4 linked regions of the Oryctolagus cuniculus genome follow. The protein of the gene in region 2 purifies or fractionates together with the protein of the main gene of each other region. This does not show direct contact. Links are inferred from orthologs where the notes say so. Each region holds a gene or a part of one and is shown on either strand. Other genes may lie near its edges.

Evidence for each region. The genes of interacting proteins can lie anywhere in the genome.
Region 1: the proteins of RBBP4 (region 2) and SUDS3 purify together in Homo sapiens (affinity purification with mass spectrometry; 5 studies listed by BioGRID and IntAct, with this or other methods). This does not show direct contact. The link is inferred for Oryctolagus cuniculus from reciprocal best matches to the Homo sapiens genes RBBP4 and SUDS3.
Region 3: the proteins of RBBP4 (region 2) and BRMS1L purify together in Homo sapiens (affinity purification with mass spectrometry; 5 studies listed by BioGRID and IntAct, with this or other methods). This does not show direct contact. The link is inferred for Oryctolagus cuniculus from reciprocal best matches to the Homo sapiens genes RBBP4 and BRMS1L.
Region 4: the proteins of RBBP4 (region 2) and SIN3A purify together in Homo sapiens (affinity purification with mass spectrometry; 11 studies listed by BioGRID and IntAct, with this or other methods). This does not show direct contact. The link is inferred for Oryctolagus cuniculus from reciprocal best matches to the Homo sapiens genes RBBP4 and SIN3A.

The regions. Positions count from the first base shown.
Region 1 is NC_091452.1:14,520,730-14,526,821, reverse strand, and holds the start of SUDS3 (sin3 histone deacetylase corepressor complex component SDS3), read right to left. Parts: upstream 3,745-6,092; 5' UTR 3,565-3,744; coding exon 3,387-3,564; intron 2,575-3,386; exon of another isoform or gene 2,502-2,574; intron 1,370-2,501; coding exon 1,300-1,369; intron 1-1,299.
Region 2 is NC_091438.1:139,884,302-139,889,684, forward strand, and holds part of RBBP4 (histone-binding protein RBBP4), read right to left. Parts: intron 2,132-5,383; coding exon 1,986-2,131; intron 1-1,985. UniProt on the Homo sapiens protein: Core histone-binding subunit that may target chromatin assembly factors, chromatin remodeling factors and histone deacetylases to their histone substrates in a manner that is regulated by nucleosomal DNA.
Region 3 is NC_091443.1:39,764,457-39,770,475, forward strand, and holds the start of BRMS1L (breast cancer metastasis-suppressor 1-like protein), read right to left. Parts: upstream 3,745-6,019; 5' UTR 3,319-3,744; coding exon 3,177-3,318; intron 1-3,176. UniProt on the Homo sapiens protein: Involved in the histone deacetylase (HDAC1)-dependent transcriptional repression activity. When overexpressed in lung cancer cell line that lacks p53/TP53 expression, inhibits cell growth.
Region 4 is NC_091443.1:108,520,650-108,526,666, reverse strand, and holds the start of SIN3A (paired amphipathic helix protein Sin3a), read right to left. Parts: upstream 3,745-6,017; 5' UTR 3,722-3,744; intron 3,623-3,721; exon of another isoform or gene 3,598-3,622; intron 800-3,597; exon of another isoform or gene 458-799; intron 1-457. UniProt on the Homo sapiens protein: Acts as a transcriptional repressor. Corepressor for REST. Interacts with MXI1 to repress MYC responsive genes and antagonize MYC oncogenic activities. Also interacts with MXD1-MAX heterodimers to repress transcription by tethering SIN3A to DNA.

The sequences.
Region 1 (6,092 bases), on a different chromosome or scaffold from region 2:
GAACCAGCAGACAGAAGATCTGTCTCCCTCTCTCATTGTAACTCTGCCTTTCAAATAAATAAACCTTTACCAAAAAAAAGAGTTTAAGTCAAGATCTTCCAATTACATTCAACAAACACTTACTGAAACACTTAACACTATCTCCCATTTAAGCCTACAATAAAAGTGCGTGGGGTTTCACTTCTCTGGCCATGTTTGGCTGTGGCTGTGTGTGAAGACAATGAGAAGGCCGGGCTGAGGATGGGCGTGAACGCGGACAGAGCCCGGGCTCCAAGCTCTCACATACTGTCCAGCATGTCGTCGGCTCTCATGGATTCATGCCCTTCAGAGAACCCAGGTGCTTGAAGAAACCTGAGCACTGATTTTTCACATCCAAAAAAATGAAGAGCAATGCCATAAAGTTATCTGCTGTTTTAAACGCCCTTGTTATCTATTTCTACTAGGCTGTCACAAAACACACCAGACACCGGAGTAAGGAAAAGGGTTTATTGGGGAAAACCCAACAGACCAGAGGGGTGGGGTAGCGAAGGGAAAAAGGGCAGCTTGTCTGGGAAGGGGGTCTAATATACCTTTTCCAGAGGGCGGGCAGTGAGGTAGGAATTGGCCAATCCCATTAGGTTGAGGGTGGAGCTTGGCACAGGTAGTTTGGGCCATGTGGCTACCTGGCTTTCAGCTATGGCGGTGGGAACCGGGGTATAGAATGTAAATCAGGTGTAGATCGTGCCACAGATAAGACTGTGCCTGCGCCATTTTCCTAACAGCCCTTATTCTCTCTCCCTTGATCATTTCCTTCAAAGTTCTTCGTAGCCTACCCTCAAGAGTCTTTTTTTTTAACAGATAGAGTTAGACAGTGAGAGAGGAGACAGAGATAAAGATCTTCCTTCCGTTGATTCACCCCCAAATGGCTGCTGTGGCCGGCGCTGTGCCGATCCGAAGCCAGGAGCCAGGTGCTTCCTCCTGGTCTCCCATGGGGTGCAGGGCCCAAGCACTTGGGCTATCCTCCACTGCCTTCCCGGGCCACAGCAGAGAGCTGGACTGGAAGAGGAGCAACCGGAACTAGAACCCAGCGCTCATATGGGATGCCGGCAGCGCAGGCGGAGGATTAACCAAGTGAGCCATGACGCTGGCCCCTCAAGAGTCTTAGAAGAGGAAGATGAATGAAACATGACTCATTTGGAGGTGGGAACAGCACACATTCGCATGGTCTTTGGAAGTACTGTAGTTCAAAATAATTCATGAGGTCAAGTCCAGATTCTACTGCTAGTTCCACGTCCCACAGAAGAAAGACAAATCACTCACTGCTCCTTCACTTCCACGTAGTCCTCTTCCTCATGCTTGGCCAGGTCAGTCTCACTAGCATCCTCGGTGTCTGAAGAGAAACACGCAAGGCGGCTTGGTTACAATCGTGACTCGTACAGCTGGCACAGGGCAAGCACTTCCTAAACTCCTGCAAGACGAACTCTACTTAACACACGCTTGCATGAAGCCACCAACAAGAAACAGTGACTATACTTACTTCAGAAAATAAAGCGCCGTTCCCCACTTACACAGTTCACACAAAGAGCTTGCCTATCTGAAGCCCAGCCGGAGAGTAGGGTGCCCGAGACGCCGGTGGCCACGGTCAGCTCTGCTGCGTCTGCAGAGGCGGCCACAGTGGCAGCTCAGCAAAGACGGGGACCCAAGACCGGACACAGCACACAGCCAAGCCCTACTGCTCCCAAACACACAACACGGTACAACCTAGGCAGGGGCTCACATCCCTGCAGTGCCTGGGTTCAATTCCTGGCCGCCGCTTCCTGCCAGGGCACACCCTAGGAGGCAGAAGGCGATGGCTCAAGTATCCGGGTCCCTGTCACCCACGTAGGAGACGCAGACTGAGTTCCCCGCTCCCATCTGGCCCAGCCCTGGCACTGTGGGCATCCGCGTAGTGACCCAACAAGGAAGAGCTCTCTGCCTCTTGAAACACAAGAAAACACCCAGTGCAAGCTGAGTTTTGTTTATCCAAAACGCCTGTGACCCAAAGTGCTGGGAACCGTGTTTTACTTGGGGATATTTGCATGGACTTTACGAGTTCAACATCCCTAAGCCAGAAGCCCAAAATCCGAACCTTGCTGGGCATGACGGGCACTTGAAAAGTTCTGGATTTTGGGTTTTCGGATTACAGATGCTCAGCCTGTGTGTGCACTGCCCCGTCGGGGCCCTCCACGCATTTTACATCAGATACAGCTGAGGAACTCCTAAAAGTTCATGGAAAACAATTAAAGGAACCTTTATTTGGCACACAAACATTTTTTTCAGTTCCACACATATAACAAAGGTGAATTCTACAGAACACACTGAACTCTAATAACAGATCTTCCCAAAGCTATAACTAAAGTGAACAACCAAACACCAAGTTCATGTGATTGGGGGGGGGGGGGGGGGCTCAATTTTGGTTTCACAGCTCCACCTGGTGGACACGAAAAGCAGCACAAGCAACTCCGATTCCCAGTCCGGCTCACCCTTGCCTCCAAGCTTCTCTAAATCCAACGCAGTTTCTTCAACTTCGCGTCCCGCACAAGCAGCTGGCCGCCTTGCTCCTTCATTCTAGAGAGTTCCCTGCACCGGCCCCATTCACTACCGGGCCCGCGGGAGGCCGAGCTGCATCCCACCCCCCGCACCCCAGCCGGCGGGGGCAGCCTCTCCCTCCGGCCTCTCTCGCACCCTTTGACCTTTCCTTGTCCCCCCACCCCGACCCCGACCCCGACCCCGCCCCAATCCTCCAAAAACAGCCCGGGCTGCATACATCCTACAAAGCTTAGCCCTGGACCTGAAACCCAGAGCTCTGAGCCGGAGGGACCACGAGTAGGAGCACTCGGCGCCGCAAACACACCGGGGCGGCCATGCAGCAAATGCGTCTCGCCCTCGGCTTCCCGGGGAGGCGCAGACGCTGCGAGCCGGTGACCCGGCAGAGCACGGGCTGCTCGCTACCTCGCCGACTCCTCACGCCCACCCGGGGCGGCCCGGGGGCACAGCGCCCACCTGCACCTGCACCTGCACCTGCACCGGGCCGGCGGCAGCTCCCGCTCGGCCTCCCACCCCCGCGCCCCGGGAAGCCACGCCGGGCGCTCGTCGCGTTCTCTCGATGACGAAAAGGAACATTAGTGCACTCCACGGGCGGCCGTCCCGTTCCGCCCGGAGAGGGCCGAGGGGCAGCCACAGACGGTTGGGGGGTGGGGTGCCGGAGTCTTAAAGGGCCCTCCCGCTCTGACGACTTGGAAGTCCCCTCTCCTCGTAGCCACCGGGGTACCACGCACCCACGGCTCCGCGCCTCCCCCGCACGTGTGGCGGCGACCCCCACCCCAGGCCGCGCCCCGCCCCGACGCCCCCATCCCCAGCGCTCTCACCCCCGCCCCGCGCTGTCCGGCGGGCTGGGGTCGCACCTTCGTCCGACTCGCGGCCCCGACAGCTGCGTTCGTCCTCCTCGGCGCTCTCCAGCTCCTCTTCCTCCTCAGGGTAGTACTCCGGGGCCGGCGGCGCTCCAGCCGGGGCCGGGGCCGGAGCCAGCAGCCCCGCGGCACTCATGCCGCCTCTGACCGCAGCTGAGCGTGCCCGGAGGAGACCGCGGCCACCCGCCCTGCGGGCCGGACGTCCGCGGAACTGCGCCCGACCGACTCCCCGACTCGAAGAGCGGGAGCCCGGGCGACCCCTTCCCCGTCTCCGCCGAGCTCCGCCCCCCGCGCCCGCGCTCGGCAACGGGGACCTCGCACCGAAGGCGACTTCCGGGTCGCGGGCTGCCCGACGACGGCCTGACTCCGCCATTCTCGAACGGCTGGAAAGGCCGACAGACGCCTCCTTCGCCGTGAGCCCAGCACCTTCATCGCCGTCTTAAAATCCTCGACGGGTGGCAGAGGAGGGGCGCGGGCCGGCTCTTTGGAGTCAGGCAAATCCACGGGCAGCCCTAGCCGCGGCCAGGACCCCATCGTTCACGGGAGGCTTCCGGAAACAGCCGCCAGGCGGCGCCCGCGGCCACAACGAAGCGAGGGCCGCCGGCGACCTGAGGGGCGGAGGGGTTAGAGGGCCGGCGGCAGGTGGACGTGCTGGACCGTCCTCCTAATAGGGCGGGAAGTCTACACGTCCAGAGTACGTGGTCATGCAGGAAAAGGGAGGTGGCCCCTCCCCGAAGTGGAACGTTATTAAGAATTGAAATAAAGATTAAAATGCAGGTAGCCCATGGTACGGTCATCAGGCCGGTAAAAAAAAAAAAAAAAAAAAAAAAACTAGACCGGCCACTTGCTTTTAAAAACATGGTAGCGTCCAGTCTGCTTTCTGTAGACCGCAGATCCAGGCCCTCCAGAGCACAGCTGCCTCGCATGGCCGCCGATGTTAACGTTTTCACGGTGTTTCCGCCGACCCAGTAGCTTTCCAACCAACTACAGCTGGGCACGGCCCCACAGAGGGAGAATCTGGGTCCCGGAAGAAAGACCCGGGCTGAAGACAGGCGCCTGGATTACCGGGCGGCTCAGCCAGCGGACGCAGGCGCCCTGGGCTGGGGAACACACCGTCCGCCCGGTGTGCGTGCGTAGGGAGAAAGGGATGCAGCTCCCACGTTTGATGGTTTGTGCCAAGTGACCCCGCTCTTCAGGCGGCTCCCACGTCTGCACAGAGCAAGGAGCAAGCAGGGAAGCTGACCCAGGAGTTCGGCCACAGCCCGGGGCCCGAGCGCCGGTTCCAGACACGGCTGCTCCACTTCCCATCCAGCTCTCCGCTGTGGCCTGGGAAAGCAGTGGAGGATGGCCTAAGTCCTTGGTTCCCTGCACCCGCATGGGAGACCTGGAAGAAGCTCCCAGTTCCTGGCTTCGGATCGGCCCAGCTGTGGCTGTTGCGGCCATTTGGGGAGTGAACCAGCAGGTGGAAAACCTCCCTCCATCTCCCCTTCTCCTCCCTGTATCTCTGCCTCTTAAACGAATACACAAATCCTAGAAAAAAGAAAAAAGGTAAAGCCGACCAGAAATGTGGGAGCCGGGCAGGAGCTTGCGTTCTGGTTCCGTGATCCTCTGTGGCCTGGGTGGAGTTGGTTTGGGTATGTCCTGTGGACCACCTTGTTTTATTCAAATCTGTTCCGTCTTTGAGAGGGATTTTTTCCTCCCAACAAAACCCGAGAATTTGCAGAATGGAACCTTGCAGTGTCTTCCAGGAGTTCGTGGATCTTCAGAGACTCCTTCTAAACAAGGGGCACTCGGGCTCACTGTGCTTCTGCCGTCCAGGACTGGCTCGTCCAGAGGAGGAAGCCATTGTCCTCTCCTGTGCTGTGCTTCCTATCTGAATTATTTGTAATCAGCTCTCTTGAGCAGCCTGAGTCCCTGTCAGCATCCATGGGTTAGAAATCAGGGTTCAGCCGGCGCCGCGGCTCAATAGGCTAATCCTCCGCCTAGCAGCGCCGGCACACCGGGTTCTAGTCCCGGTTGGGGCGCCGGATTCTGTCCTGGTTGCCCCTCTTCCAGGCCAGCTCTCTGCTGTGGCCCGGGAGTGCAGTGGAGGATGGCCCAAGTGCTTGGGCCCTGCACCCCATGAGAGACCAGGAGAAGCACCTGGCTCCTGCCATCGGATCAGTGCGGTGTGTCGGCCGCAGTGCGCCAGCTGTGGCGGCCATTGGAGGGTGAACCAATGGCAAAGGAAGACCTTTCTCTCTCTGTCTCTCTCTCTCACTGTCCACTCTGCCTGTCAAAAAAAAAAAGAAAAAAGAAATCAGGGTTCACTGGTATCATGAAGCCCCCCCACCAAAGGTCAGTTTTGCTGCTACATGGTTTCCTTGCAAGATGCTGGGATGTTTATGGTTTATTTCCATCTCCTTGATTGCAAACAGCAGCTGTTAATGGTTATGCATTTATTTTTTTCTATGTAACGAACAGAGACAATGGAACTCTTGGGTGCTGAAGAGTGTCCCCATTTCTCATACCCAGATTCCCAATGGCAGAACGGGCAGGATAAGTCCCTAACAAGTAAATACTCCTCAATGAGGCGAACGACCCACAGCCTTAGCCGTCGATTTTTATAGTAAAACGCAAATTTACTCAAAGCCGGGTTCTCCCTCCTTAGAATCTTTGGTTCCT
Region 2 (5,383 bases):
GAAGGAACACCTGTGCAGCCCCCGAGAGAGCCGGCCGGCGGTGTGCCGCTCCCCTGCGGAAGTGGGGAATGTGGCAGGGGGAACCGCCCTTCCACGGAGGTGGAAGGGGCGGTAGCCAACCCGGGAAGGACCAGCAGCAAACCCGGGGAGGGCCAAGCAGATGAAAGAACAGCGCAGGGTCCTGTGTCGTTCCTCCGCGAAGAGGGGGAGCGACACCTGGATCCATGTGGGAGATTCGGATGAAGTTCCTTGCTCCTGACTTAATCCTGGCCCATCCCTGGCCATTGTGGCCATTTGGGGGAGTGAACTAGTGGACAGAAGATCTCACTCTCTCGGTAATTCTGCATTTCTAATAAATAAAAATGAATCTAAAATAAAACTATTTATGAAGCACGTGAAATTTGTTGCCTTAATATATTAAAAAAAAAAAAAGGAAAAAAGTTTGGGACAATTGCATTCTTAATCAAGAGTCTTGGGTTTGTCTCAGTTCTGCCTCCAACTCCAGCTTCCTGCTAATGCACACCCTGGGAAGCAGCAAGCAATGGCTCAAGTAGCTGGTTCCCTACCACTCAAGTGGGAGACCTGGATTGAGTTTCAGGCTCCTAGCTTTGGCCTGGCCTAGTCCCATCTGTTGTGGTCATGTGGGGACTGACCCACTGGATGGAAGAGCTGTGTTTTTCTCCCTCTCAGCCTGTCACTCAAACAAGTATGTAAAAAACAAAAAGACAAAACACACTCAACCCAAGACCACCAAAAAATACAATTACAATCATGGTAAGTAACTTAAAGATATAAAAATTCATTCTATTCAGGAGAAATCTAAGATTAGAAATATTAAACATTAATTATTTACAGTTCAAGTCTTAATAATGAACCCCATTTTCTATCTAAAGATTTTGACTTTGAATAGTGGATAAATGACAAGAGTAATGCAATTTACAATGTTACAAATGATATGATAGGGATGGGCATTTGGTCCCCACTGTAGGCTATTGGCCATCTATAAAAAACTTATCTTTGGTGTCCCGTCCCTTCAGAGAATAAAACTGATTTGAAGGATGGCATGCAAACAAACAAAGATTTTGACTTTGATGTTAATAAAAGAAACACCAATTCCCACTCCTGTAAAGGAAGGAGTAAGCATTTCAAGAGCATTTAAACCTTTAGGGTATTTCCTAAAAATAGGACATAAATGGCTTACTGAAATTTAACTTTATATACACAGTGAGTGCCACAGTTAAGTGATTGCTACCAATCACACATAGCAAGGGTAATTCAGACCCATGTTTCTTGATGCCTGTTTATATACCCTATGTATGTTTCCTTTTTTAGGTTGATTTATTTGAAAGGCAGTGTGACAGAAACAGAGGCAGAGACTTATCTTTCATCTGCTGGTTCACTCACCAAAAGCCCTCATCAGCCATGAGCTGCATCTGTGTCTCATTTGGTGGCAGAAACTCAAATACTTGGGCCATCACCTGCTGCCTCCCAGGCACATTAGTAAGAAGCTGGATTGGAAGCACAAGGTAGCCAGTACTTCAAGCAGGCACTCTAGTTTGGGATGGGGTAACCCAAGACACAGCTCAACATACTGTACAACATCTGCCTCTGTACCTGTGCTTGATTGCTTGATTCATACAAAAAGTAAGACTGCTTATATCTACTCACACCCACAAGCAAATCTTCACCTCTTCAAGGGCAACCCCTCATCCGTAAGCGGACACAGCCAATAAGATATGGCTGTTATTTGCTTCTTTCAATTATACAAACACTGCCCCTGCCCTTTGGTAAAGAAAAGTGTATAACAAAGGTACACAATCAAGTACATGTTAATATTTTTTTTATAACAAACATGTTTTTTTCCCCTAGCTTAAATGTTGCTTCTAACTTGAAAAGTTACCTTATCAAATTGCATATTCCTTTTATGGTAATTCAAAGATATGAAAGCTAAAACTGGTTACTTTTTTCACCTTTAAGATTCCTACCTCCTTTCTCACTGTCGTAGTGTGAGGCATCAAACTGCGCATCATCATTAGGGAGCTGCACACTGGCTATCACAAGGTGGTTTTGTTCATCCGACGTATGTGTCCCCAGGACAAGTCGATGAATGCTGAAATCTTTTCCTTCTGGTCTGTAATATCAATATATGGTTACTATTCAAGTAAGTAACACCAAGAGAGATCACACAGACATAAATGTACACAATAGGGCACTATTACAACCAAGTTTTCAGAGCAGAAAGTCATTAAGAGCCTTATTTCTGACCTTTTTCACTTTTTTTTTTTCCCTCTTTTGAGAGCCACAGGGACAGAGGAAAAACAAGGGAGAGATGGGGGAGGGCGTCAGTGAACACACTCCCATCTGCTGGTTTACTCTCCAAACGCCTCCAACAGCTGGGGTTGTTAGGGCAGGGCTGAATTTAAAAGCTGGGAACTCAATCCAGAACTCCCATGTGCGTGGCAGGAACCCAATTATTTGCGCTGTCACCACTGCACACACTGGCAGGAAGCTGGAATCAGGAATTGAACCCATGCACTTCAGTGTGGAACATGGGTATCTCAACTACCAGGCTAAAAAACTGCTCCCTATTTTCCAAAACCCTTGGGGCCAGTGCTGTGGCGTAGCAGGTAAAGCTGCCACCTGCAGTGCTGGCATCCCACATGGGTGCCGGTTCAAGTCCTGGCTGCTCCTCTTCTGATCCAGCTCTCTGCTATGACCTGAGAAAGCAGCAGATGGCCCAACTCAATGGGCCCATGCACCCGCGTGGGAGACCAGGAAAAAGCTCCCGGCTTCAAATGAGCACAGCTCCAGCCGTTGCAGCAAATTGGGGAGTAAACCAGTAGATGAAAAACCTCTCCCTCCCTCTGCCTCTCCTTCTATGTGTAACTCTAACAACTTTCAAATAAATTTTTTAAAAAATTAACATTTTCAGAAACTAATTTGAGAGGCAGAGGCAGAGAAAGATATATCAGTATCAATCTCCCATCTGCTGGTTCACTCCCCAAGTACCCACAACAACCAGTGTTAAGCTAAGCCAAAACTGGGGAAACCAAGAACTCAATTCAAGTTTCTGACCTGGGTATCTGGGACCCAACTACTTAAGCCATCACATACTACATCTCAAGAAGCACATGAGCAGAAGTTGGAATTGACATCACAGCAGAAGTTGAACCCAGGCATTCTGACAAGGGATAAGTGGCATCTCAACTGCTATGCCCTGTGCCTGCTTCCATTCTCCTTTAGAGGCAGAGACACACACACACAGAACTCCCACCCACTGGCTTACTTCTCAAATGCTCACGGTGGAGCTGTGCTGAGGCTGGGAGCTGTAAACTCATTCTAGGCCTCCCACATGGGTGGCAAGAACCCAATCGCTTGAGCCATTAATGCTGCCTCTCTCCCAGCTGATGCTGGAGCCAGAACTGGGTATTGAACCCAGAGAATTTCAAAGTGAGATACAGGTGTCTTAACTGCTAGACCAAATGCCTGCCCCTGTTTTCTACTTTTTTTTTTTTTAAATGTTTTAAGATTTATTTATTTATCTGAAAGTCAGAGTTACACAGAGAGAGGAGATACAGAGAGAGAGAGAGAGAGAGGTCTTCCATCTGATGGTTTTCTCCCCAATTGGCCACAACGGCCAGAGCTGCACCAATCCGAAGGCAGGAGCCAGGAGGTTCCTCCAGGTCTCCCACGTGGGCGCAGGGGCCCAAGGACTTGGGCCATCCTGCACTGCCTTCCCAGGCCACAGCAGAGAGCCGGATCGGAAGAGGAGCAGCAGGGTCTCGAACCGGCGCCCATATGGGATGCCGGCATTTCAGGCCAGGGCGTTAACCCATTGTGCCACAGCACCGGCCCCCCTGTTTTCTACTTTTAATGCATCTTCCATACAGCTGAGTATAAGAACCACATAAGTTAAATTTTCCAAGTATTTAAAAAAAGATTTATTTATTTGAAAGGCAGACACACACACATACAGAAACCAATCTTCCATCTACCGGTTCACTCCCCAAATGGCCACAACGGCCAGGGCTGAACCAGGAGCTTCTTCCAAGTCTCCCACATGGGTACAGGGGCCCAAGGCGATCTGCTGCTTACCCAGGCACATTAGCAGGGAGCTATACTGGAAGTGAAGCAGCCAAGACGACTCAAATCGGCACCATATAGGATGCCAGTCGCCAGGCAGAGGCTTAACCTGCTACGCCACAGTGCCAGCCCCTCCAAGCACTTTTTTCTAACTTAAGGGGCTATGCTGTGGTGCAGCTCCCATATTGGAGTGCCAGTTGGTGTCCCAGCTATTCTGCTTCTGATCCAGCTTCCCCCCCCCCCTTTTTTTTTTGACAGGCAGAGTGGATAGTGATAGAGAGAAAGGTCTTCCTTTGCCGTTGGTTCACCCTCCAATGGCCGCCACAGCCGGCGCACCGCGCTGATCCGAAGCCAGGAGCCAGGTGCTTCTCCTGGTCTCCCATGGGGTGCAGGGCCCAAGCACTTGGGCCATCCTCCACTGCCTTCCCGGGCCATAGCAGAGAGCTGGCCTGGAAGAGGGGCAACCGGGACAGAATCCGGCGCCCCGACCGGGACTAGAACCCGGTATGCAGGCGCCACTAGGCAGAGGATTAGCCTGTTGGGCCACGGCGCCAGCTGGCTTCCTAATATGCCTGGGAAAGCAGCAAAATGGAAGATGGTCAAAGCACATGGGCCCCTGCCACCTTGCCACGACCCCCTCACCTTCCCTCTGCTGGCTCACAACCAAATGGCTTCAGCCAGGTCTGGGTCAGGTTGAAGCCAGGAGCTCGAACTACCCAGGTCTCCCATATGAGTGGCAGAGGCCCAACCTCTTGAGCCATGATTCACTCTGCTTCCCAGAGTACACTAGCAGGAAGCTGGATTGGATGTCAAGTAGCAAGGACTTGAACTCAAACTCTGATATGGGACTGGACACCAATTGGCAGTTTAACCTTCTGCACCACACTCCCCCAAAGCAGAGGTTCTTCTACTGTGGTGCCAGGACCAATACCATCAGCATTACCTGGGAACTTTGGTTAGAAATACAGGGGCAGGCATTTGGTAAAGCTTTTAATAGGCCAGTTAGGCAGCTGGCATGCCATACAGGAGCAGAGTGTCTGGGTGTGAGTGCCCTCCTCACTTCCAATATAGCTTTTTGCTAATGTGTACCCTGGGAGGCAGCAGGTGACAGCTCAAGTACTGGAGTCCACGCCACTGATGTGGGAGACCTGGATTTAGCCTGGCCCAGCCCCAACTACTGAAGGCATTTGAGTATCTCAGCAGATAAGATCTCTTTGTCTCTTTCTGTGCCAATTAAAAAAAAAAATTCTTAGATCCACCCCAGACTTACTGAATCAGAAACTCTGGTGTGGGGCACAAC
Region 3 (6,019 bases), on a different chromosome or scaffold from region 2:
CAGAGGCTATCTTGTTCTGCCACTCAAGCTCACACTGTCCCCTCTCCCCAATTATTGGCAGACAGTAAGACACAGATAAATGAGGGCAAAACAAGCCAATGTGCTCAGGAAAGCAACCATGAATTACCAGATCTGTCCTATGTTCCACATCTTCTCTTTTCACACCCTACGTACCCAACACATCAAAATGACTGAAGTGCAAAATGATCTGCATTTTGATCTGCATCAAATAAAGGCCAAACTCTGAGAGTTAAATCGTGTTTGGTTATTTTCATACGGCAGGGAAGTATCTGAATCATTTTAAAATTTTTTTCTAAAACACACTAAGAAATATTTTGGTTCCACTAGCTTATTCCTAGGCTATTTAAAACTTGGTTCATCCAGATGACTCACTCCCCACGTTCTCTGGATAGTAGAGGTTTTTCTGTGGACTTAGGATCTGCTCAGTACCAAGGTTTGAAAAGAATAAAATTCTGGAAGTTTAACGTGCGTAATACATGGTAGAATAGAGATGATTTTACAAGAAGCAAAATTGAAAAACACAGCTATAAGTAATTTCTTCGCACTTAAAAATTTTGACTGGTGGTTCAAATTATTAGTTTTCATGGTCTATCCATGATTTTCTGGGCTGAAGTTAAAAACAAATCAAAAATCACAACAGTCAATACAAAAATTATTGGGGGAGAATATTAACAAATAGAGCTGGGGCCAGCTTTGTGGCGCAGTAGGATAAGCCTCAACTTGCAGTGCAGACATTCCATATGGGCTCCAGTTCGAGTCCCGGCTGCTCCACTTCCCAGTCAGCTCCCTGCTAGTGTGCCTGGGAAAGCACTGGAAGATGGTCCAAGGACTTGGGCCCTAAACTAGCATGGGAGAAGAAGCTCCTGGCTCCTTGCTTCAGATGGGCGCAGCTCTGGCCCTTGCAGCCATTTGAGGAGTAAACCAGCAGATGGAAGACCTTTCTCTCTGCCTCTCCCTCTCTCTGTCTGTAACTCTGCCTCTCAAGTAAAATAAATCTTTAAAAATAGAGAGAGAGAGGGGCTGGCGCTGTGGCGTAGCGAGTTAAGCCACCACGGGCAGTGCTGGCATTCCATATGGGTGCTAGTTTGAGTCCCAGCTGCTCCACTTCTGATCCAGCTCTCTGCTGTGGCCTGGGAAAGCAGTGAAAGATGGCCCAAGTCTTTGGGCCCCTGCACCCGCGTGGGAGACCCGGAAGAAACTCCCGGCTCCTGGCTTCGAATGGGCCCAACTCCAGCCTTTGTGGCCAACTGGGGAGTGAACCAGCGGATCGAAGACCTCTCTCTCTCTTTCTCTGCTTTCCTTCTCTCTCTGTGTAACTCTGACTTTCAAATAAATAAATAAATCTTTAAAAAAATAAAGTAATAAAAAATAGAGAGGTAATTATTTGACATCTCAGCTCTCGTTAAAAAAGCTAAGAATACTTGAAGCTGATGCTTTACAGATCTAGGAAATATATTTACATACAGTCCTGATCCTTCTTTCTCTCTGTTCCCCACTTTGAAATCTCACCTACATCAATGGCCAGGCACATGATCTTCCAATTATTCCTCCCACCCCAGGCAGATTCCAAGGCCACATTCCCATCTGCCAGCTGGGCATTCTTGGTTGAATACACACTCCTACTTAAAAGCAACACAACGGAAATACCTTCTCTTTGATCTTCATCTCACATTTTTACTTCTCTCTGTCCACTGATGCTATCACCATTCTCTTGGTATCTTGGGTTTTCTCTTCGCTTCACTCCTAAACGTGCACTCATCAATCCTGTTTTGTCCTTTCTTTTGAGTTTCTTAGCTCAGCCTTCTCCCATACCAAATGGTTTCCTCACTCTTGAGTAAGCGTAAGCTCTGGCCTTTGCACTTTTTCTTACATTCCTTGCCCTCCAGGAGCACCTGAACGTTACCACAGCAGTACAAATCCTACTCATTCTTCAGGATAACCCCATCTGCTTCAACCTGCCTTTGCTGGCCATCAATTCTGAAAAGATTTCCTCTTCGTCTCGATTCCTACAGCAGTTTAGCTAAGCACTCACTTAGCAACTTAATCAAGCGGTAACTTAAGACAGCTCTTTGATTGAGAGAGATCAGAACTAGTTAGACCTCAGACTGAGCTGTGCCCGGTGCTACACAAAGAAGTCACTCATAAATATTTATTTTGGGATTGGGTGATTTATTAATCGAAATGACACCCTTCCATGGAGATTTGCTTTGAAAGGGACACGTGAAAGGGGGCGTTAGGGCGATGATGGACTGTCAAGCTGTCATCAGCGCTTCCTTTATGCGGTCCAAATCAGGCCAAGACAAAGAAACCAGTCTCATCCCCGTAACGGGGACAGAAGGAAAAGAGTCCAGGTAGTCACAGATTCCCTCTCTTTTTTGAGTAGCCATTCCCGAAAGTTTGCAGAATTTATTGATGGGGTTAATCTGCCCTCTCCTCCCCTCTCTTCCCACCCTCAAGCCCTGCCATCACCACCTCCCCCACCGTTACCCCCAAAAGTGAAACAGCCCAAAGTCGGGAAAAGGGGGAGGGAAGAAAAGATTGGGAGCATTTCAATGCTGCCCCCCAAACCAGCCAATTCATAAACAGATGAAGATCCAAACCACCCCGATGGTGTTCCCTTCTTCTCAGCCTTGAAAACTTCAGGGGCATTCTGCAAACGGGACAGCTCCCGAGTTAGCCCCCTGCAAGGGCACTTGGTGGGAAGCGCAGACTGACAGGGGGTTAACCCGTTCCAAGCCGGCCAGGAGCACCTGGGGTCCACCCTGGACCCCCACAATCCACCCACGTTGAGAAGTAGGAGTTGCAAAGGTAAGGGTAAGGAGAGAGGTCGGTGGGCTGCCTCCCACCCGGGCGAGACCCCAGGGCACCGCCGGGAGGTGTCTAGGGCGGCTCCCACCGGGGCTGCTCGGGGGCCGAGCTCCGGGGCTGGGCAAGCCCAGGCCCGCCCCGCCCCGCTGGCCGGGACCCTCCCTGGAGCAGGCAGCGCTGGGCGACCGGTCGGTCTGGGTGCAGCCCTGGGCCGGGAGCCAGTCTCCGCCCCTTCCCTCTCTCCCCGCCCCGCTCTCCCAGCAGGACGCGGCTGCCCGGCGTGCGGAGCGCGGCCTGTCGCGCGCCCGGCCGGGGACTCAGGGTCCCAGCCTTGCTGGGTCGCGCACCTGAGCTATCGCCATCCTCCGAGACCGACGAGCTCTCGGTGTCCTCGTCCTCGGAGCTGCTCCCCTCGTTCTCGGCGTAGTCCACCTCCATCTCATCGTGATGGTTCGTCTCCTTCTTATCCCCCCGGGAATGCACCGGCATTTTCCAGCCGCGCCGTCGCTTCCCACTCGCGGCGCCCAGCCCGGCCACCGCCGCTTCAGTGAAGGGCGCGCCGAACGCCCGGACCCACCCAGCGGCCGAGCTTGCTCTGAACCCCCTCGGCTCCTCCCCGCCCCCGGCCCGGGCCTCACAACCTAACCCGCAGGCTCAGCCCTGGGAGCTCTGCCATTGGCGGAGGCCGAGCTCCAAGGCGGGGGCGGGGTTTGCCCTGCTGGGGCACGATTGGTTGCTGGTAATTACAGCGCGGCCTTGCGGTGCGTGTCGGGAGTTGTAGTCCTCAGAGCGGAGACCTGCAGGGGCTGCCGACTTCCAAGCTTCGACAGCCCGGATCCCTTCTTCTTTCTGGACTTCAAATCCCACAAGGCACGAACGCTGGCACCCTTGATCGCAATTTATAAACTAACCCGAAACAGATTGTGCGAATTTGGTCTGTATGTGTGCTTTTCCCGCCAAGTGAGTGTCTGACCACCCTGGCTATCCAAGACGTTGCTGGCAGATATGAAAGAGTTTTTTGCCTGTAGGGCTCTTTGCCTGCTCTTTGAGCTGCAGAACAGAGAACCGCCTCTTCTAGGAGTCTTTATTACGACTAAGAAAGCGTTACATTGAATAGTTAACTATGCAAGGTAACTTGCACTTTCTGTGTTGCACAAACATCTTTAAAATTGTTCTTGAAACTTTTGCAATTGATAATACAGAAAGAAATTTTGGCTTGGCATTCTCAATCTAGTATTTTTCCATTTATTTTTTACCAAATGCCGTTGGAAGATGCCACTGGTATTGATTTAACTTCACTTTTCAACGAAAACTACGTATGTGACCCAATGAGATGTTATATATTCTCAAGGATAGGGTACACAGACAAGGAAGACTCAGTTCCACAATCACAACTCAAATTAATTGACCATTTTTATTCTGCATCAAATGTCTTGGTAAGCCTGTTGCATGGGCTACCTTGAATTTAGATATCAGTTCAAGAGTCCTAAGCAGGTGCCATTATTATCTTCATTTTGCAGGGAGGGAAATTTCATTTGCAGACAAAACTTAAAACTATATTTTACCCATTATAAAGAAGGGACTTCTTGTTGACACGACAATTTGCTATGGAAATATATTTCATGCAGCATTTCTTCTTTTTTAAATTTTATTTTATTTGAGAAGGGGACGGAGAGAGAGAAAGGGAGGCGGGTGTGTGACTGCCATTCTGTGGTTCACTCTACAAATGCCCACAACAGCTGGGGCTAGGCTAAGCTGAAGCGATGTGCCACGAACTCAATCCAGCTGTCCTGTGTAGATAGCAGGGACCCAACTTCTTGAGGAGTTACCTGCTGCCTCCCAGGATGAACATTAGCAGAAAGCCGAGTGGAAGCAGAGCTGGGACCAGAACCCAGGCACTCCAGCATGGAATGTAGGCATGCAATACAGCATCTTAGCCACTAGGTCAAATGCCTGCCCCAGCATCTATTTCTCAAAAGCCAGATCCCAACATTTGATAGAGGATGGTAAGAGTATCCAGATGTAACTGCATTCGATTTGTAATTTAGTGACAGGAAACATTTCAAGAGCAATCTACCTGCTCCAAAGTAAATCCAGATCAAGGGACTTGATGAAGCATGGGCTTTCTTCTCCCCTTTTCATGATAGCTCCCAAACTGAATTCCTTACATTTCCAAACACACCAGCTGTTTCTCATTTTGCACATTCTAATCCCTCTGCAACCCTCTTCCTCCTCCTCTTTTTTTCTTAAAGTCACTTTTTAAAAAAGATTTATTTATTAGTTGAAAGGCAGAGTTAGAGAGGCAGAGACAAAGAGAGAGTCTTCCATCTGCTGGTTCACTCCCCAAAAGGCCACAAAGGCCGGAGCTGGGCTGATCTGAAACCAGGATCCAGGAGCTTCTTCCAGGTCTCCCACATGGCTGCAGGGGCCCAAGAACTTGGGCCATCTTCCACTGCTTTCCCAGTCCACAGCAGAGAGCTGGATTGGAAGTGGAACAGCTGGGAGTCGAACTGGCTCCCATATGGGATTCTGGCACTACAGGTGGCAGCTTTACCCACTATGCCACAGCGCTGAACCCCAAAGTCACTTTCTTGACAAGAAACATATCACCCCCAACACTTCCACCATTCAGCGTGGACGTGCGTTGTACTTGTTTGCATCACACTGTGCAGAATTGTGAATTATTTAGCAAACGCACCTCACCTATTGGATTGTGGGTTCCTTGAGTGTGGGGGCTGTCATAGCATGAATATAAATTCAAAGGGGAATAACAGATCAGCAGGAAGAGTTAAGAGACAGAAACTATGTGAGTGTGTGGATTACAGGGGCAGCTGCCTTTTTCTCTACCCAGTATCTGCAAATTCTGGTCTGAGGAACTCAGCCCTTCCAATTTTTAAGAGAAAATGGAATTTTGGATCTCTATGGGAAATATCCAGATTGTAAAACATTATTTCAAGAGAAGTTTTTGTTTCATTTTGTTTTGGTTTCTTAAACTCCAGATTAAACAAAAACAGCTGTGGGTAAAATTCCTGGCCTCTGTTAATCTTTGACATATCAGCAGCTAGCAGAGTGTGTTCTAAAAGTAACAATAGCTTAGATTTCTGGTCATTCTTTATGTAAGCATTATTATGTGCTTTTAAAAAACAAACATTCAATGCCACTTTCCTTTAACTTTATAACATTTACATAT
Region 4 (6,017 bases), on a different chromosome or scaffold from region 2:
CACGCAGCGCGCGGAGAGCCCCGCCCCGGGAACTCCCGGCGGCCGCACGCCCGCCCCCGCCGAGCCCGCCGACCAAGTCCCGGGCCTCCCGCCGGCGCCGCGCGGCCACAGGGCGGGGCGGCCCGGCCGGGCCCGACGGCGGGCTTTCCCGGGCGCCGCCCCGCGCGGCAGGGCCCGCGGCCGCCCGGGCCCGAGGAGCCGCGAGACCCCCGCCCGCGCCCGAGGCCCCGCCCCCCGCGGCCGCCCCGGCGCTCGCCCGCCGCCCCGCCCCTCCCCGCCGCCGCACGCGCGCGGCCCCGCCCCCGAGCGGCGCGCGAGCGCCCGCCCCCTCCGCGCGCACCGGGACTACGCGCTCCCCCTCCCGCGCCGAGCCGCCCCGCTCCGCCCCCACCGCTCGCACAGCCACACGCCTCCCGCTCTACGGGAAGCCGCGGGGGTCAGCCCCCCCAATACACACCCTCCGGCCCGGCGCTGCCCGCCGCCCGGGTTCCCGCCGGAGCTCGGCCCACCGGCTCTCACCGCGAAGCTGCTAGGGCCGCTCGTCACTGCGCGTCCCTCTCGGCGTGAGCCGCGGGCTCAGGAGGCCCCGAGAGCCGCACGGGGCAGAGGCCGCCGAAGCGGACTGGCAGCCTGCGCTCCGCTACCGAGGCGGTCACAGGCCCGGCTGCCCAGACTGGGAGGGAGGGAGGGAGGGAAGGAGGGAAACTCTGTGGGGGGAAGGGGAGGGGGAGATGGAGAAACCGTCTCCGCCGCCTCTACCGCCGCGGCCGCTTCTCTGTTACCCGGGAAATCCCGCCCACTCCCCCGGCCCGCCCAGCAGAGGGAGGACTCGGCTTCGCTCCTCCACAGGACGCATCGCCCGCCAGTCAAAAGGCCAGCCAATTACTGCGCCCCGCCCGCCGACTTCCCGCCCCTTCCCTCTCGGTGGGGAAGGGAGGGGGAGCCGCTCACCCTCTCCACGCCCCTATTGGCGGGGAGCTTCCCTAACTCAACCCCGCCTATTGGAGACGGATTGCCGAGTCCCTCCCCCCAGCCGCAACACCATTGGCGGAAGCGGGGGAGCTCTTCTCGTCTCATTGGAGGACACCGCACGGCCCGCCCCGCGCCGTCTCAGCCACAGGCCGAGCAGGTCGGCTCCCGCCTCCGCCGGTCAGCGTTTCGGAAGGCTACCTCCGGCTCTCGGCGCCCCAGGAAGGCAGCCGCTGTGGGGCACAGTGTCCGTGCGGGACGCAGGCGCCTCCCACCTCACAGCCGCGCCGGGCCCGCCCCCGGCGATTCCGCCCCGCCGTCCTTTGGTGGAATGTTGACACCGAGACGAGCTCGGAGTTCCGGGGGCAGCGCCGGGGCCCGGGCGCCCCTCACCGCGAACCTCAGCCTCCGGCCTGGCGGTCGCACGCCGCCGCCTAGCAGCGGCCGGGGCAGAGCTGCGCCCACAAACCCGACCGGAACGGGCAGCCCTGAAAGCGGCCCGACGGCCACCGCCCTGGCCGCCTCGGGGGCAGAGCCAGCGGAGGAACCGAGGAAGGGACCGGAGTGGGCGGGGGTGCCTCGTGCGGTCAGACCCCTCTGGGCCGGGGTCCCGCGTGCAGAGACACCTTCTGGGCCGGGGTCCCGCGTGCGGTCAGAGACCCCTCTGGGCCGGACTCCCGCGTGCAGAGACACCTTCTGGGCCGGGGTACCGCGTGCGGCCAGAGACCACCTCTGGGCCGGGGTCCCGCGTGCGGTCAGAGACCCCTCTGGGCCGGACTCCCGCGTGCGGTAGAGACCCCTCTGGGCCGGGGTCCCGCGTGCGGCCAGAGACCACCTCTGGGCCGGGGTCCCGCGTGCGGTCAGAGGCCACCTCTGGGCCGGGGTCCCGCGTGCGGTCAGAGACCCCTCTGGGCCGGGGTCCCGCGTGCGGTCAGACCCCTCTGGGCCGGGGTCCCGCGTGCAGAGACACCTTCTGGGCCGGGGTCCCGCGTGCGGTCAGACCCCTCTGGGCGGGGGCTTCCCCGTGCGGTGAGGCCGGCGCGGCCGGCGTCCACCTCGGCCACCGTGGGCTCCTGGCAGTCCCTAGGTCCGCTCCGTGAAGGCTAAGCTGCACCGAGACCAGGTGCCGGCACACAGGGCATGGGCCCGCCGGTGGCCTTGCTTGGGGGGCGGGGCTCGGGGCTTCCCGCTCTCGCCCGCAGAGGGGACCCCAACACCGCCCTCCCTCCGCAGCCTCGGAGCGAGCTCCGGCAACAGGTGAGTGCCGGCTGCGAGCTGGGAACTGCGGGGAGCCGACCCCCCGGCGGGGGCGCAGCTCGGGCCCAGCCCCGCGCGCCGCGCCCCGACCCCGCGCCGGGGTCCCCTCCCGGCCCGCCGAGGGCAGCGGCTGCCGGCGTCCGCAGCGCTCTCGCGCGGAAACAGCCACGCCGCCGGGCCCGAACTTCAGAGCGCGGCCCCGGCCCGACGGACAGACCCTCGCCCGCAGAGCCCCCAGCGCCACCCGGAAGCCGCCGGCCGCGGGATGCCGGGCAGCCCAGCGCGCCTTCGCCACCCCCTCCCCCCGCGGGGCGCGGAGCCGGGACTTCCGGGCGGGAGGCACGCGAGCAGCGCGGCGGCCTCACACATGTGCGGGGCGCGCTCGCGGCCGAGGGCGGACTTCCCCTCCCGGCTCGCTCCGCCGGGGGCGGGGCCGCGCGCGCAGCCAATCAGGAGCGGGGGCGGGCCCTCGCGCCTCACGTAGCCGCAGGACGCCCCCCCCTCCGCCCTTCACGGAAAAAAAAAAAAAAAAACCCTAGCAACTTAAACTCCTGCCCGGCCTCCCTATAGGCGGAGCTCGAGATAATGTCAGCCAATCCGTGCCCGAGAAGCGAAAGAGGGAGTCCCGAGCAGCCAATGGAAGACAAGAGCAGGCGGGGCCCGCAAGGAGCCCGGGGCGGCGGGCGGCGAGGCGGCGCCCCGCCCCGCGTGTCCCCTGCGGGCCGCTTGCACAAGCCGCCGGCGGAGTCGGTAGTAAACAGTCTGGGCCGCGGCCGGAGGCCGGCCGGCCGGCCGGCCGGCCGGGCCCGCGCCCCCGCCCGGCGCCTGCGCCCCGCCTCCCGCCCGCTGATGCGTTTCCTCTTCCCGAGCGAGCGTGGAGACAGTTCCCCAGGTTCCGACCTTCACGGCCGCTCCGGGCGGCGAGGCGGCGGGGGGCGAGGGCGGCGGCCCCGGGCCGGGGGCGCCCGCGCCCCTCGTGCAAGTTTGCGCGCGCAGGGAAGCCGCGAGCCCGGCCCGCCCGGCAAGTCCGCGCGGAGGGAACTCCGGGCCGGCCGCCGCCCCCCGCCTGCCGGAGCGCGTCCGGTCGGCGCGCAGGGCCCCCCACCCACCTTTTTTTTTTTTTTTTTTTTTGCTGCTTTTCGTGTGTTTTTCTTAAAAAAAAAAAAAAAGGCGTGAGCGGAGCCGGAGACTCCTCCGGCTCGCCGCTCCCCAATCCGCCGCCGAAACCTACCGACACCGAGTGCTCGGCAACACTAGGCGGCGCGGCCGGCGCTGGCGCCCCCTCCCCACGGCTCGGCCCGGCCGGGAGACACAGTGGCGGGCGGGCGGGCGGCGCCGAGCGCCCTCCCTCCGGGCCGGCCCCTCGCCTACCTCGGCCGCGGGACTCCGAGCCGCCCCGGGGCCTGCGCGCCCGCTCTGCGTCGGGCCGGCCACGGCGAGCCGCCCCCCGGACGCGGGCCGGGGGCACCGAATTGAAAGCAGCTGTTTAACATACCTTCCGAGCCGGGCGAGGAGTGCTGAATGGGGAACGCCCCCCGCCGGCCATTGGCTCCGCGGCGCTGCGTCACGGCCGAGGGCCCGCCTCCGCGCTCGCCCCGCCCCTCCCTCCGGGAACCGTGCAAATAAATAAATTAGGCGAGCCCGGAGCGGAGGATCCCCGGTGCCGTCGCGGCGGCGCCTCGAGGGTCCCGGGCGGCGGGGCTCCGGGACGGCGGCCCGCCGTGCTGGGCGCCTGGAGACGAGGGGTGCGGGCGGGAAGCCCTGCGTGCAGCCCGGCGAGGGAGTCACCCCAGCCCTGGGGCGTGCGGGCGCGGTGGAGATGCTGCCGCAGGAGCCGAGGCGAGGCGGGAGTGTGCTCCCGCACAGACTGGCCGACTCCCGGGCGCTCCCAGGAGAGCCCTGCCGGCTGCAGGTAAGCCGGCGGAGCCGCGTGGAGGCGGCGGCGAGCCAGGTGGGTCTTAGGGGTTGCCCCGGGCAGAAGCGGAGGGGCAAAGGGCACGAAGGGACAGGTGGAAAGCGTGAGGACTGCGATGCTGGAAACCAGGGTGGCAGAGGTGGCCCCAAGCCGCGGGACGTCTCCTAGCTGGACCAAAAGCCGGTCGCAGGCCCAGGCCGGTGTGGTCGGGTGCTTAGCGCCCTAGCAGCCGGTGGGCTCTGGGGTGTGCCCAGTGAGGGGAGGGAGGCGCTGGGTTTGGTGGCTACAGTGCTGCGACGCCTGCCCTGCCTCTGCCCTGCCGCCCTTGCTCTGTTGGTCTCCATTGCCAACCGAAAAGAGTTTCCAGGGGGCAGGGCCACCCCGCAGGTCTGTGTTCAGCAGAGGCCGGATGCGCCTGGTGTGAGCGAGGGAGACCGGCTGGTCGGGGCTCGGAGGGATCCGTGCGGTGGGCCGGTAGTTCAGGCGGGGCACACTAGACCAGGGCACGGCCAGGGGATGCGTGCGAGCAAGAAAGGCGAGCAGTGTTGGAGAGACTCAGGGGAGAGGGCGGCTATTTGGAGTGGGCGGTGGGCGGCAAATGGAGCCAGCGGCCCTCGGCGGGGTGAGGCGGAGGAGCTCGGGGCTGGCGGAATTCGGCCCTGCGCTTCGCGTGGCCGTTGTCGGAGGCTTAAACGAGCTCCTGTCTCCCCTACCTGGGCCTGAGCCTCTCCACGAAACGGGGTGGGAAATGGAGCGGACAGGCTGCCAGCCGCCACCCCCACCCTCCGCCCCGGCCCCAGGGTCCACGTGGGAAGCTGGGCTGTAAGCAGAGAGGGCAGGTGGGGAGCCGCAGCTTTGGGGAGACCACGGAGGGGAGAGGAGGGGGAGCCGGGAGATGAGCCCTGTGTGCTCCTGCGCTGTGCCGGCGTCAGATGAGGCAAACGGTAGGGTAGAGCGGGCGCCGGCCTGCACCGCGAGCCCCCTGGCTCTCGCTGGGTCCCTGGGTCCCTGCCTGGGGGAAGAGGCTGACCCGGCGACCCCGGCCGCGAGGAGGATCCCGGTGCTGCCAGCATGTGGCTCAGGTCCTGGGAGGCTCTGGGCAGCAGGTGGTGTGCCGTGGGTGAGGTTACTGACACAGCAGATCCGCAGCCGGACAGCGTACTCACTGCCCCGAGTGCCACCCCGGCGGGGACCCCTGAACGCCCCAGGCTGCTCTGAGCCCCGGCGGCGCGTTGCCACGCACAGCACAGCCTTTCTCTTTGGGAGGGGACCTGATTTTGCCCTGTGTGCTATGCCCCGCTCGCCATCCTCGTTTGTAGGTGAGCAGAGCGGAAGGAGGCTCAGAAGTGGAATGACTTGTGCAACCCAGGCACCCAAGGCAGGTCCGCCTGGGGCCACCCCGCGTGCTGTTTCTGCAGACGGGGGCCAGCAGCTGGGGCGTGGGCTCTGGAGAAAACCAGCCTGCCCTCCTGGGGCGCCCCTGCTCAGCTCCCCAACTACAAGGGCAGCTTGTCTGCAGCCAGGGCTGACTGATTCCTGACTCTTGCCCAAAAATCCTCCCCAGAGCAGCACGGAGTTGCCTCCGGTCACAGGCGTGTGTCTCACAACACAGACATCACACACTCCCTCATTCACTTCTCGGGGTGCTTGGGGCGGGCAGTGATGGGGAGGCACAGGGCCCGCATTTCAGTGGCTTGGCTGATGGATACCGATGGCCAGCGTGGTGGCTCAGGAATAGCAAGGCGAGGGGGCTGTGAGGCCGGCGCCCCGCCCCGCCCCACCGACAGCAACCCCTGTGCTCATGGCAAGCGCTCCAGCTCCGGCCAGGATCCTGGGTCAGCATTTCTTGGAGGGGGAGGAGCTTCCGTTTCCCGTG